Linked DNA regions of Ovis aries. The protein of the gene in region 1 binds, or shares a complex with, the protein of each later gene. Links are inferred from orthologs where the notes say so. Each region holds a gene or a part of one and is shown in the gene's direction. Other genes may lie near its edges.

Region 1 (6,436 bases):
GACGCCATCCAGAAGGAGCAGAAAGAGAACAGCAGCTGTACTGACAAGCGAGAATGGTGGACGGGCCGGCTAGAGCTGGATCGCAGGATGGAGGTGTGTGTTCCCAGTGTGGGATGGGGTTGGGCCTGCCCTAGAATATCTCCTCTCTCAGGGGTCCATCCTAGGTCTGTACTGAACTACCTCAAGTCCTTTCTGGAGGTGTTGCTGTTTTTCAGTTGTGTCAGACTCTTTGCGACCCCATGGACTATGGCATGCCAGGCTGTTCTGTCCTCTACTGTCCCCTGGAGTTTGCTCAGATTCATGTTCATTGAGTCAGTGATGCTATCTAACCATCTCATCCCGTGCCACCTGCTTCTCCTTTTGTCTTCAGTCTTTTCCAGCATCAGGGTCTTTTCCAATGAATTGGCTTTTCACATCAGGTGGTCAAAGTATTGGAGCTTCAACTTCAGTATCAGTCCTTCCAATGAATATTCAGGGTTGATTTCCTTTAGGATTGACTGGTTTGATCTCCTTGCAGTCCAAAGGACTCTCAAGAGTCTTCTCCAGAACCACAATTCGAAAGCATCAGTTCTTCTCACTCAGCCTTCTTTATGGTCCAACTCTCACATCCATATATGACTACTGGAAAAAGCTTAGCGTTGACTGTATGGACCTTTGTTGGCAAAGTGATATCTCTGCTTTTTAATACCCAGTCTAGATTTGTCATAGCTTTCCTTCCAAGGAGCAAGCCTCTTTTAATTTCATAGCTGCAGTCACCGTCTACAGTGATTTTGGAGCCCAAGAAGAGAATCTGTCACTGGTTCCACTTTTTCCCCTTCTGTTTGCCATAATCTTAATTTTTTTCATGTTGAGTTTGAGGCCAGCTTTTTTACTTTCTTCTTTCACCCTCATCAAGAGATTCTTTAGTTCCTCTTCCATTTCTGCCATTAGAGTGGTATCATCTGCATTTCTCACGTTGTTCATATTTCTCCCATCAGTCTTAATCCCTGCTTGTGATTCATCCAGCCTGGCATTTCACATGATGTACTCTGCATATAAGTTAAATAAGCAGAGTGACAGTATACAGCCTTGTCGTACTCCTTTCCCAATTTTGAACCAGTTCATTGTTCCTTGTCCAGTTCTAACTGTTGTTTCTGGAAGTGTAGGCCTAAATAAAAATTATTACTTGGGAACCACGAGCACAAGGGGACTTCCCTGGCGGTCCAGCAGTTAAAGTTCCATACTTCCCCTGCTAGGGGTACCAGTTCAATCCCTGGTCTGGGAACTAAGATTCCACATATATGTGGTGCAGCAAAAACAAACAAACAAAAAAAACCAATAAAACAAAACCAAATAAACAAGAGCCGAAGACTTGAAGGGGTTTTGGCAATGAAATGTTTAAAGATGAGTACAAAATAAGAATTTAAGGCCAAATATCAGCCTCCCAGGGCTTCCCAGGTAGCTCAACTGGTAAAGAATCTGCCTGCAATGCAGGAGACCCCAGTTCGAGTCCTAGGTCAGGAAGACCCCCTGGAGAAGGAATAGGCTACCCACTCCAGTATTCTTGGGCTTCCCTGGTGGTCGCTAAGACGGTAAAGAATCCGCCTGCAATGCAGGAGACCTGGATTCAATCCCTGGTTTGGGAAGATTCCCCAGGGGAGTGCATGGCAACCCACTCCAGTATTCTTGCCTAGAGAATCCCCATGGACAGAGGAGCCTGGCGGGCTGCAGTCCAGGAGGTCTCAAGGAGTTGGACACCTCTGAGCAACTAAGCACAGCAGCACATCAGACTCCCAGCCATAATTTTCATTTCATTTCCTGACTTAGCTTTTGCCCACCTGTTTGTATTTATCCAAATGTAGTGATTTATTACAAATCTTACCTTATCAATACTCTCTTAGAGTCTGAGCAAATGAAAAATGTTTCTCTCTTGCCTTTTATGTTGGTTGTAAGATAAATAAGACACACCCACTCATTGGAAGATGCATTTCCTTGTCTCCAAGAGGGTGGGGAGAGAAACTTGGCTTCTTCCCTCACTGACGGTTCTGTTGTGCATCCAGGTTCTCACCACTTCCCTAGAGAAGTACGTGCTGGGCTGCTGGCGGGGGCTGTTGCTGCCATCCAGTGAGGACCCTGGCCTTGTCCAGGAGGCCTCCCGTCTACAAGAGTCACTACAGCAATGTGGCTGGAAATATCCCGACCCCACTCTGCTGAGAGTGAGTTGAGAAATCAGGGAAGAGGATGAAGTACGCCTTGCCTCTTTCCCACCTGCCACTGCGGGTGGAAAGGGGAGCTCTTGTACTCACTGACCACTGGTCCCCTGCAGATCATGCTCAGCGGTGCCAGTACCCTCACCCCGCAGGACGTGCAGGCCCTGGCTTATGGGCTGTGCCCAGCCCGGCCAGCCCGAGCCCAAGAGCTCCTGGGTGAGGCAGTAGGGCGTCTCCAAGGTCAGATGGCAACAAGCAGTAGGCATCTCGTGTTAGTGCTGGACAAGGTAAAGAGCCAGGGGCCACATGGGTAGCATCTGTGGGCAGTGGGCACTTCCTCTCAACCATGCTCCTCCTGCCTCCTGCATACCCCTGCCTCAGGACAGTAATGTCTGAGTGCTTTTTGCCCAGGACCTACAGAAGCTGCCGTGGGAGAGCATGCCCAGCCTCCGGGCCCTGCCTGTCACTCGGCTGCCCTCCTTCCGATTCCTACTCAGCTACTCCGTCATCAAAGAGGTGTGGGGTTCCGGGAATGGAAGGTGGGAGTGATGGGTAATTGGACAAGAAAAGGCAGAGAGACATCGCAAGAGAGGAAGGTGGTCTTAAGAATGGAAAGGGACTTGGGTTGTTTGAAGCTTGGGTGCTCTGACCAAACTGGGATGCTGATCACTGGGATCTCCATCAGTCCGGGGCCTCATCAGTGCTGAGCCAAGGAGTGGATCCTCGAAGTACCTTCTACGTCCTGAACCCTCACAATAACCTGTCAAGCACAGAGGAGCAATTCCGAGCCCATTTTAGCAGGTCAGGGGGAGAAGAGTAAGAAGGGTGGTGGGGAACGGTAGACGCAACACAGGAGTAAATGTCCTTTTCTCTGGAATCAAATGTTGCAGCCCACCTCCTTCCCAGTGTTCCTTCTGCCCTTTTTGCCACATGACCCATCTGCACCACACAGCGTGTGGGATCTTAGCTCCCCGACAAGGGATTGATCCCCCGCCCCCTGCACTGGGAGTGCAGTCTTAACCACTGCACCTCCAGCTAAGTCCCTTTTCACTGCCTTTTCCCTGCAGTGAAGCTGGCTGGAAAGGGGTGGTTGGGGAGGTGCCAAGCCCGGAACAGGTGCAAACGGCCCTGACGGAGCGTGACTTGTACATGTGAGTGCTCAGGGCAGGGAGGTGGGGAAAGGGACAGTCCCAGAGGGTGGGTATCATCACGGTCTGCTCTGGGGCTTTGGAGCCCCTGACTGACTCTGGACAACTCTGGAGGCCTGGCCCTGTGAGGTCAGTTTCATCTCACCTCCTTCTGCCTCAGCTATGCAGGGCATGGCGCCGGTGCCCGCTTCCTGGATGGGCAGGCTGTCCTGCGGCTGAGCTGCCGGGCAGTGACCCTGCTGTTCGGCTGCAGCAGCGCAGCCCTGGCTGTGCATGGAAACCTGGAGGGGGCTGGCATTGTGCTCAAGTATATCATGGCTGGCTGGTGAGTCTCGAGGGGCAATCTATTCAAGGTCCTGACCCCAAGTGCTTTCCCAGGTCTGAACTCTAAATCCTTGCTCTTTTGTGCCCCATTTTCCTCCCATCCTAGTTCCCTGGCATACTTGGGCTTTTACCCCTTTGTCATCATCTATCCTCCTCCTGGAACTATGGGCCAAGGGGCTTTCTCATTGGTTTAATCCCTCTCAACTCATTCACCACCACAAATCATGCCTGCCCTAGGTTCCGTTTTTGAGCCCTTACTTTGTATTTCTTCCCTCTCTTTTCCCAGCCCCCTGTTTCTAGGTAACCTCTGGGACGTGACTGACCGTGACATTGACCGCTACACAGAGGCTCTGTTGCAGGGATGGCTTAGAGCAGGTTCAGGAGCCCCCCTTCTGTACTATGTCAGCCAGGCCCGCCAGGCTCCGCGACTCAAGTACCTTATTGGGGCTGCACCTGTAGCCTATGGCTTGCCTGTCTCCCTGCAGTGACTCCTTGGAGCTCTCCTGTTGCCGATAGAAGCTATATGACTATTCTACCTCCAAACTTAGGTTTGGCCCTGAAGATAAATATTTTAAGTGATTTTCCCCAGTGTTTTACATGAAAGATTTCGTTTTGATTTAATTTTAATATAATAAAGATACGTTACTTAAAATCCTGTTTTGTGTAGTTTCTCTGAGAACATTTGAAGATAAGATGCCCACTTCCCACTATATGGTTCTATAGATAAGAATAACTTGCAACAGTCCAAGTCTGAGAGCATTGGGAAGAAAGGCGAACCACAGGACCTGGCTTGGCCTCAGCAGACAAAGCTAAAGGAGAGCAGGGCATCAAAATGATCTAAGTGGGGACAAAGCCCTGAGGAAAGGTAGAGATAGATCCATTGAGAATGTCTTGGCCAGGTACACTCATATCTATCTTGACTTCCTGCCTCTGGTATCCTCAGAATGACATTAGCTTTACTGCCTCAGTTGCCCTGCCCCCTCCTAAGTGGATACTGTCCTTCCCCCACATTCAGCTAATACGCTTGTCAGTGCCATGCACTTTAGCAGCAGGTTCTGGAGAGTTTTTGTAGCTCAGATGGTAAAGAATCTGCCTGCAATGCAGGAGACCTGGATTCAATCCCTGGGTCTGGAAGATTCCCCCAGAGAAGGAAATGGCAACCCACCCCAGTATTCTTGCCTGGAGGAGCCTAGCTGGCTACAGTCCACGGGATCGCAAAGAGTTGGACGCGACTGAACAACTCACACACACATACACATTGGGAAGTTTTGCGACTTATGTATGATTTTCCTCTCCCCAACTAGATTGTTAAGCTCAGAACTATGTATCTTACACTCATGGATCCTTCACTTCTAGCACATGGTAAAACACTGTGTTGATTAATAAAGCTACTGCTGTACTGTGGGTGATAACGTGCCTCCTTCCTGTTCTCTCAACCGCCAGACTCTGGCTTCATCTGCGCGAAGCATCCCTTTCATAATGCTACTGTCCCTCCTGTCCGTTGCTCCTAGAACTTCCCAAGCTTCTTCCTTGCCTGTTGTCACCAGGTTTATACCACCGCTGTGGTTATGGTGTTGGGCGGGTTTCCTCTAGTGGCAGGGAGTAGGGGCTACACTTCATAGTGGGTGTGTGGACTTACTTCGGTGGCTTCTCTTGTTGCCGAGCACAGGCTCTAGGCGCCCAGGCTTCAGTAGCTGCCCCTTGCAGGAGCTGTGCTCAGCAGTTGCTGCACAAGGGGCTTTGTTGATCCTTGGCATGTAGGATCTTCCCGCACCAGGGATGGAACCCCTTTCCCTTGCATTGGCAGGCGGATTCGTAACCACTGGACCACCAGGGAAGTCCCAAGGCCTGAGTAAGATTAAGTTTCTTGAGCATAAGAATCCTGTTCGTTAGAACTTGATTATGCGAGGCTTGGGATATTTTGCGAAAAGAAAACGCCGCAGCCCTTTCTATTCCATCGGAAGTCACGCCGAAGATTCCGTACCCTCCGCCCCGCCGCGAGCTTCCTTCTCTTCTGGGTTGAAGGACCATAGAGACGTCTAGCACTGCGAGGCCTCCAGGCGTAGCCATCGAGATACGCAGAGGACGGCTAGAGCGTTGCTCTCCCGGAGGGTTTCCGCTTCATAAGCCCTCCTTCCCAACATGGCGCAGTCGGTTAACATCACCGAGCTGAATCTGCCGCAGCTAGAAATGCTGAAGAACCAACTGGACCAGGTGGGGATAGGCTCCAAAAGCACCCCTTTCCCGCCTCACTTCCCTTCCCCCCCAGCGCGTACTTCCTTGCCCCCCACTCTTCCCCTCTTGGGGAGAATTCCCTTCCCAGGCGAAACCCCCACCCCGTCCCAGGACCCGCCCCTTCTCTGGCAGTGCCCGCTTCTCCCGCGAGCCCCCACCCTGACCCTCATTCCTGTTCTCTGTAGGAGGTGGAGTTCTTGTCCACGTCCATTGCCCAGCTCAAGGTGGTTCAGACCAAGTATGTGGAAGCCAAGGACTGTCTGAACGTGCTGAAGAAAAACAACGAGGGTACGGGGTAGGCGTGCGAAGGGAACCTGGGAGATGTGGCGAGCCGGCTTCTCTCTTCCCGCCTCCTAATCCAGTTTTCTTACCTGAGACGAGAGAGCAGTCCATCACGTATTGTATACCGCTGCAGGAGCCCTTTGCATGTTGCTTATCTAGAGTTGAAATGTCCAGGACATTTTTCTGCTCCTGTTGCCTCTATTTTCGTCCTTTTCGTATAGTTTTCGGGCGCCGTGCCGCTTCGAAACTCCCTTTAAA
Region 2 (8,100 bases), on another chromosome or scaffold:
CAGTGTTCTTGCCTAGGACGGTGGAGCCTGGTGGGCTGCCGTCTATGGGATCGCACAGAGTCGTACAGGACTGAAGCGACTTAGCAGTAGCAGCAACAGTAACAGTCCAGGGCATAGCAAAGTGAGTTTGGGGCATCATTAGTAAGAAAACAAAAGAGTTGGTTGTGGCATTTTACAGTTACCTTGGGAAACAGTGCTTTGTATTGTAGGAGGGGAGACTTAGCCTAGGGAGATAGAAACTTTGCATCCAAAAATATCAGGAGATAAAGAATTCCCACTTGGAAGCTGTAGGTGCTGTTAAAGAGAAAAGCCACAGGCCCAAAATGGCTTTACTTGTGCTAAAGCCCTTGATAGAAAACTTATATTTGATAACTAACCTAATCACAACTTCAAAATACTATCACCAGAAATGTAATCCAACCAACCAGTTGGGAATTTCCCGGTCAGTACTGAAGAAGTAATCTGGCACGTGGCCCCTTTCCATTATCCCTTCAACCCCACTCTGCCTCTCAGTGGAAGAAGAGGCAATTAGCTGTGAAAACCTTGCTGTTCCTTCCTTTCTCCTCTCCAAAGAGGTCCTGGCCTATAAATAATCCTTTCTTTTAATAGCTCCCATGCCCCACCCTTTTTCCTCTAAAAATTTCTCAGTTTGTACAACCCCTTGGAGCACCCTTCTGATTTCTAGGTGGGAGGCTGTCTGATTCTTGAGTCATTTAATAAAACCAATTAGATCTTCAAATTTACTTGATTGAATTTTTTCTCAATGTTGTGCAGACTTGGTTTCAATATAAATATTTTTGTGTGCTAATGATGTAATTCAGAGCTGAGGCACTTAGAAGGAGATATAGGGAGGAAATAATGGGAGGGTTACAAAGGTCTAGTCAAAGCTATGGTTTTTCCAGTAGTCATGTATGGATGTGAGAGTTCCACCATAAAGAAAGCTGAGTACTGAAGAACTGATGCTTTTGAACTGTGGTGTTGGAGAAGACTCTTGAGAGTCCCTTGGACAGCAAGGAGATCAAACCAGTCAATCCTAAAGGAAATCAGTCCTGAATATTCATTGGAAAGACTGATGCTGAAGCTGAAGCTCCAATATTTGGCCACCTGATTCAAAGAACTGACTCACTGGAAAAGATCCTGATGCTGGAAAAGATTGAAGGCAGGAGAAGTGTTCAACAGAGATGGTTGGATGGCATCACCGACTCAATGGACATGAGTTTGAGCAAGTTCTGGGAGTTGGTGATGGACAGGGAAACCTGGCGTGCTGCAGTCCATGGGGTTGCAAAGAGTCGGACACTACTGAGTGACTGAACTGAACTAATAAACTAGGGATAAAAGAGGATATGGAAAGGGCAAAAAAGATACGCACTTTTCCTCCTCTTGGTGTCTAGCACAGTGACTAACATTTAATAAATATTTATTGAATGAATGAGCCATTCAATGTTTTGGCCCTGAAATGCCAGGGAAGAAGGGACAATGAACTGGTATATATTTGGAAACATATCTATGCCAGTTGTAGTGCTAAGGCTTTGGTGAAAGAGTAATGTAGGCTTAACTCCTCCCTCCCAACTTTCCTGCTAAGTTAAAAAGTATCTGGTGACCTGTTGGGAGTAGAGTTTGGATGGCACAGATCATCCTTGGTCTTTTGAATTGATTCCTTTATCTTGTTTAATATATTTCCATTTACTATTGAAGGACTTCCCTTGTGGCTTAGCTGGTAAAGAGTCCACCTGCAATGCGGGACACCTGGGTTCGATCCCTGGGTTGGGAAGATCCCCTGGAGAAGGGAAAGGCTACCCACTCCAGTATTCTGGCCTGGAGAATTTCATGGACTATCCACGGAGTTGTAAACAGTCAGACAGGACTGAGTGACTTTCACTTCACTTCACCATAGAAAGGAAAAGGTCACTAACTTTTCAAAGCAAAATTTCTCCATGTCTTGGAAATTGGAATTCATTTTGTATGTCTTTATAATTCCTCTGTTGTTTTTCTCTTGTTCACCCTTCTGTCCTTCCCCACCAGCTTTGATGAATATATTGTTGAGATGTTAAAGGTTTAAAGTAAGTATATTGGTACTTGCCTGGCAGTCCAGTGGATAAGACTCTGCTCTTACACTGCAAAGGGCACAGGTCCCATCCCTGGTTGGGGAACTAAGATACTGAATGCTGCGCAGCGCAGCCAAAAACAAAGTCCTTATTAACTGATAGACTTTCAAGTTCAGAATTGTGTACTCTTAGGTCATTGTTTTGTTCCTAGGGTTGCAAAGAGTCAGACACGACTGAGCAACTGAACAACAGATTCTGTATAATGGAGATAGCATCCTAGCCTGAAATACTGATAGTCTTGCAATTAGGAAAAAATCAGTACACTTAAAAAAAATTGAAGTCTAGTTGACTTACAATATTGTATTAGTTTCAGAATCACTCCATTCTTAATCACAAACACAACAGAATGACACAAACTTGCCACTTTATCTGTACTTTCATTTCTTCTTAATGTTTAATTGTGCTCTGTTAATATTCTCTAGATCTAATATGGGTTTTCCTCCCACTGACTATTTATTGACTATATATGTATTTTTTATACCTCTAATTTGAAATTCATCTTCCATAGTCATTTCCCCAATGACTACAATGCCTTTCCTCCCGTGCTGCCTCTTTTTAATTTGATCCGGTGTATCTACTCTCTGGAAAAACAGTTGATTACTTCAAGACTTTAGGAAAATAGTTCTGTCACCATCTCACTTTGACTTTTTGAAGTTCACTATCTTCTCATTTAAAAATGTCTTGGACACCAAAGACTTGGGCTTCCCTTGTGGCTCAGCTGGTAAAGAATCCGCCTGCAATGAAATTAAAGTATAATGAAATTGTGCTTTAAAAAGTTGGTGACCTTTTCCTTTCTATGGTGAAGTGAGGTGATAGTGGCTCAGTCCTGTCCAACTCTTTGCAACCCTATGGATAGTCCATGGAATTCTCCAGGCCAGAATACTAGAGTGGGTAGCTTTTCGCTTCTCCAGGGGATCTTCCCAACCCAGGGATGGAACCCTGGGGTCCTGCGTTGTAGGTGGACCCTTTACCACTTGAGCCACAAGGGAGGTCCTTTCTATGGTAAAGTGAAGTGAAAGTCGCTCAGTCCTCCTATTCGACTCTTTGCGACCCCATGGACTGCCATGGAATTCTCCAGGCCAGGGTACTGGAGTGGGTAGCCTTTCCGTTCTCCACGGGATCTTCCCAACCCAGGGACAGAACCCAGGTCTCTCGCATTGCAGGCAGATTCTTTACCAGCTGAGCCACAAGGGAAGCCCTTCTATGGTAAATGGAAATATATTAAACAAGATAAAGGAATCAATTCAAAATGAGGGAGACCTTGGTTCGATCCCTGGGTTGGGAATATCTCCTGGAGAAGGGAAAGGCTACCCACTCCAGTATCCTGGCCTGGAGAATTCCATGGACTGTATTGTCCATCGGGTCGCAGAGTCGGACACGACTGAGCGACTTTCATTTTCACGTCGCACACCAAAGAGTCTCAGGGAAAAAAAAATCGCAAAAGCCAACTCTGTATTTTGGTATAACATTAATAATAACTTTCTTGGAATTAAAGACTGTACCTACTCTCCTCTATCTCTCTGGGGGGGAGATTAAAAAACAACCATTAATAGACATCCACGACCAAGCTGTGAGAGGCTTTGATTTTTTTTCCTCCCGGGGAACAAACGAAGAACTTGCCGGGAAAAGCTTTCAGGGCGGAGCCCAGGGAGCTTAGGTTCCTACCATTGGTTCTTCCGGAGCCTCCGCCCCGCCCCTGTCCCGCCTCCTGGATGGATGAACCAATAGGGGTGTAAGTTGTGGTTTAAACGCGGAGTCTGGCGCGTCCGGTGGAGAAGAGTCTTGCGAGAGTTTGGCTGTTACTCCGAATGTGGGTGAACCGAGCGGTACCGAGTGGTTGGGCGGGCACGGTCCGGCGGCTTAGGAAGCGGGAGTAGGCTTTGTGTGTGTGTGGCGTTCGGGGCCTGGGAACCGGGGTCCGGGTGTCTGGGACCCGGGGCCTGGGATTTGGGGGCTGGGACTTCCCTGAAACGTCAGACGCGCTCGCCTGGCTTGAGCCACGGTTTTGAACTGCGTACGCGACCCACGGCAGTTTGGTTCCAATGAGTACCAGGGCCTGTGCCAGTCCCAGACCGCCAACTCTTAAGGAATTTAGGGTCCCTGACGCAGGCGTCAAGAATTAAGAGCTGGGTTAAATGCTTGTTGGCTCAAGATCCGGCTTCTACCTCTGCTTAGCTCCTGTTTTTGCGTAGATGTCCCTAGGGTAGAAAGTTGGGTCAGTGCTACACTTTAGCTTCTTTCATCTTCCCTAACTCCCAAGGTTTAACGAGTGTTTCACACCTCTAGTTGATCCAGAATGGCTACTCTGATCTATGTTGATAAGGAAAATGGAGAACCAGGCAGCCATGTGGCTCCTAAGGACGGGCTGAAGCTGGGGTCTGTGCCTTGTAAGTATACAGGCGGCTATCAGGTACACAGGTATTGTGAATCAGTGGTGGGTGTGGCTTGGAGCTGGGGAAGGCCCAAATATACTTTGTGGGCAGTTGGAGTCGTGCGTGCTAAGTCGCTTCAGTCATGTCCGACTTTTTGCGACCCTATGGACTTTGTAGCCCGCCAGGCTCTGCTGTCCATGGAATTCTCCAGGCAAGAATACTGGAGTGGGTCGCCATACCCTTCGCCAGGGGATCTTCCTGACCCAGGGATTGAACCGGAGTCTCTTAAATCTCCTGTATTGCCAGGCGGGTTCTTTACCACGAGCGCCACCTGGGAAGCCCAGTGGGAGTCGAGTTTACCCAATACTCTTACTGCCGAGTACTTATGGGTCTCTTCATGTTCAGTATCTTTTTTTAAAATTTAAGTTATTTATTTATTTTTGGCTGTGCTGGGTCTTTATTGCTACCTGGCCTTTTCTCTAGGTGCGATGAGTAGGGGATACTTTTTATTTGTGATGCCCAGGCTTCTCATTGCAGTAGCTTGTATTGTTGCAGAGCATGGGTTCTAGGGGATGCTGACTTCAGCAGTTGAGACACGTGGGCTCAATAGTTGTGGCACATGGAGTTAGTTGCTCTGTGGCATGTGGGGGTTCCTGGATCAGGGATCAAACCCCCGTCTCCTGCATCGGCAGGTGGATTCTTTACTACTGAGAAACCAGAGAAGCCCTCATGTTCAGTATCTTAAAGAGATTATTTAAGAGAGTAGTGAACTGAAATGGTGTTAGGCATAGGACCATGCCACTGTCAAAAATGGGGGTTAAGTTTGGCTGTGAGAATTAGGCCAAGTTGATAGGCACAGTCAGCTTTCAAGTTGCACAGGTGTTTACTGCTGGAATGATCTTATGGTAAGACTTTTTCTTTAGCAGTCAAAGCTTTGGATGGGAGATCTCAGGTTTCAACACCACGTGTTGGCAAAATGTTTGATGCTCCACCAGCTTTACCAAAAACTGCGAGAAAGGCTTTGGGAACTGTCAACAGAGCTACAGAAAAATCAGTTAAGACGGATGGACCGCTCAAACAGAAACAGAAAACTTTCTCTACCAAAAAGGTAAAAGTTGGCTATAATTAAAGACTAAAGCACTTTGACTCTTAAAATGACTACTGGCATCTTACCTGACACTCTCCTCTGTGAATGGAAGGAAATAGAGACTAGCAAATTAGATTAACAGAAGAGAATCATCATACAGTCTTTATTGACTTCTCTGTACCTTGAGATCACATGTATCAGGAGCAGCTGGTTAATATTTTTGCCTCACCTGTCTTTAACAAGTGTCTTAAAACAGACCAGTGAGTACTGTGAAAAGTGAAAGTGAAGTTGCTCAGTTGTGTCCTACTGTTTGTGACCCTGTGGACTGTAGCCTACCAGGCTTCTCTGTTCATGGGATTCTCCAGGCAAGAATACTGGAGTGGTTACCATTTCCTTCTCCAGGGGATCTTCCTGATCCAGGGATCGAACCCAGGTCTCGCACATTGGAGGCAGACACTTTAACCTCTGAGCCACCAGGGAAGCTTTTGAGTACTGTGAGAGAGGGTACTTTGCAAGAAGTCATGATGCTAGTATAACAGCTCAGGTGCTGCCATTCTCTTCCCCTCCTTTCAGAGCAAGCACTAGCTTTGTAGGTTATAACTTGGTAGCATGTTGACCTTTGTACATGTGTTTACAAACTGTAGGGCAGTGCATCCTAGACCGAGAGGACTTGGCTGTGAAAGATGACTTCAGCATGTGAATTAGCACTGCATTTCAGTAATTGTTTCAATGTGTATTAGGAAAAAAACAACTAGTATACTTGATGTCAAACTGTTAGGTGTGGTTTTAGGATAAAGATGTCTTTTTAAAAAAAACTGAGTTGAGTAAGAGAAATGCTAAGTGTAAGTATTGCAAGGATATAGCAAAAATGATGAGAATGTGACAGAACTGAAATGTGGGAAGCCTTGTCCTAGTAATTTCCTCTAGGCATGCACATGTGATGTGAGAATAAATCAAGACGCTACAAGCTTCCATTTTGGCCCACCACCATCATGGACTGCCTACCAGTTCCAGACTAGAGAATTATCCACGGTGGGCATCTTAAAGTCCTTGACTGTCTTTGACTGCCTCTTACTCAGTGTTGTGTATTTGAGGAAAACAAATTGGTTTTTAATATTAACCCAGTAATTTAGGTAACACTGATGGAAAATCACATTTCCAAAAGCCAAAAATGGCTTCTAGGATTAGTTTCTATTCTGGGTGATTTATGCCCATTTTCTCTTCTATTAGGTTAGGTTGGGCGATTGAGTCAATTAGCTCTGAATTAACTCTACTCTGGGGCTTCCCTGGTGACTCAGTAGTAAAGAATCCACCTGCAATGCAGGAGACTCAGGTTTGATCTCTGGGTGGAGAAGATCCCTTGGACAAGGAAATGGCAACTCGCTCCAGTATTTTTGCATGGGAAATCTCACGTCCAAAGAAGCTTGGTGGGCTACACAGTCCTTGGGATTGCAAGAGAGTCAGACGCGACTTACCGACTAAAAACAGACTCTGCTCTGTATTTTGATGATTTATGCTAACAGGTGCTAATACTTGTATTTCATCCTTACCTTTTGAGCCATGATAATTGATTGCTGAATTGTATTTGTATGTGATTTTGAGAATGAGGGATTATGGTTTCTTAGAAATTGAAAACAAATTTAAAATATGATGAAGCAATCCCATGTCTTGAAGAATCTCTCTAATCTCATGTACTAATCAGTTGACAAGGCTCCCACTCTTAAATGGATGTTTTCTTGGGTTTTTTTTAGATTACTGAGAAGACTGTTAAAGCAAAAACTTCGGTTCCTGCCTCAGATGACACCTATCCAGAAATAGAAAAATTCTTTCCCTTCAATCCATTAGGTACTCTTTTGATATTGTCCAAATGCTTTAGCTTTCAGTTTCTCTTAGGATCCAATTCAACTGTAAGTTGATATGGCTCTGAATATGATTTGTGATCTAAAACTATAACAAGGCTGTCTGAATCTGGGGTGCTTTGGACAGGTAACTTGTGGATTTATTTTTAAGGCATTATCTTAATTCAGAAGAGGAATCAGAGCAAAGATGGGAAAACATTCTTGTCCTCAAAAGCTAAAACCACCCAAGGGGAGATTACTTGTTCAGTGTTAGCAGACAGCCTTCCTAGCAAGCCCACTTTTAGAAAATGGACTTGATGTCAAGTTGAACAGTGAAAAGCAAGCCTGAAAAATCCACATAGCCAGTGAGAACATGTGCTTTTTGACTTCTTCAACCTCCTACATGTATCTGAAATATTTTCTATAATAGAGTCGGCTTTTTTCAAGCTTTAATGTACTCACATTGAGGAGAGTAGACTGTATGCCAGGCGCTATTGGCTTAGGATGTAGTGGATAACAAGGCAGGCCCCACTCTGAGGAAGCCCAAGATTTGGAGGGTAAGTCAGACACTGAACAAATCCTTTCACTTTGAGTGTGAGCCAAGGAGAAAAACAGGGCTTGTTAGGGGGCACTGAACCTAGCCTGAAAGAGCAGGGAAGTTGTTTTCTCATAAAGTGACTTTCAGTGGAGGCTTGAAG

What was found. The genes of interacting proteins can lie anywhere in the genome.
Region 2: the proteins of ESPL1 (region 1) and PTTG1 are in contact, whole or in part, in a cryo-EM structure (PDB 7NJ1), measured with the Homo sapiens proteins. The link is inferred for Ovis aries from reciprocal best matches to the Homo sapiens genes ESPL1 and PTTG1. Residues at the interface, in NP_036423.4 of Homo sapiens: His402, Thr405, Val406, Tyr409, Ser461, Asn462, Tyr465, Tyr468, Arg505, Arg508, Glu512, Glu544, Thr547, Phe548, Arg551, Gln590, Lys593, Ala594, Val595, Arg596, Thr599, Gly600, Arg603, Gln634, Cys637, Tyr638, Trp683, Ile686, Glu690, Ile697; in NP_001269311.1 of Homo sapiens: Tyr111, Pro112, Glu113, Ile114, Glu115, Lys116, Phe117, Phe118, Pro119, Phe120, Asn121, Pro122, Leu123, Phe125, Glu126, Ser127, Phe128, Asp129, Leu130, Pro131, Glu132, Glu133, His134, Gln135, Ile136, Ala137, His138, Leu139, Pro140, Leu141.

What each region holds. Positions count from the first base shown.
Region 1 is NC_056056.1:133,206,266-133,212,701, reverse strand, and holds the end of ESPL1 (separin), read left to right. Parts: coding exon 1-93; intron 94-2,039; coding exon 2,040-2,195; intron 2,196-2,305; coding exon 2,306-2,476; intron 2,477-2,600; coding exon 2,601-2,705; intron 2,706-2,874; coding exon 2,875-2,990; intron 2,991-3,256; coding exon 3,257-3,340; intron 3,341-3,497; coding exon 3,498-3,662; intron 3,663-3,947; coding exon 3,948-4,149; 3' UTR 4,150-4,313; downstream 4,314-6,436. Other genes in the region: PFDN5 (prefoldin subunit 5), read left to right, coding at 5,804-5,875, 6,082-6,184. UniProt on the Homo sapiens protein: Caspase-like protease, which plays a central role in the chromosome segregation by cleaving the SCC1/RAD21 subunit of the cohesin complex at the onset of anaphase. During most of the cell cycle, it is inactivated by different mechanisms.
Region 2 is NC_056058.1:69,562,495-69,570,594, forward strand, and holds the start of PTTG1 (securin), read left to right. Parts: upstream 1-3,877; 5' UTR 3,878-3,989; intron 3,990-4,391; 5' UTR 4,392-4,401; coding exon 4,402-4,492; intron 4,493-5,400; coding exon 5,401-5,585; intron 5,586-7,315; coding exon 7,316-7,409; intron 7,410-8,100. UniProt on the Homo sapiens protein: Regulatory protein, which plays a central role in chromosome stability, in the p53/TP53 pathway, and DNA repair. Probably acts by blocking the action of key proteins.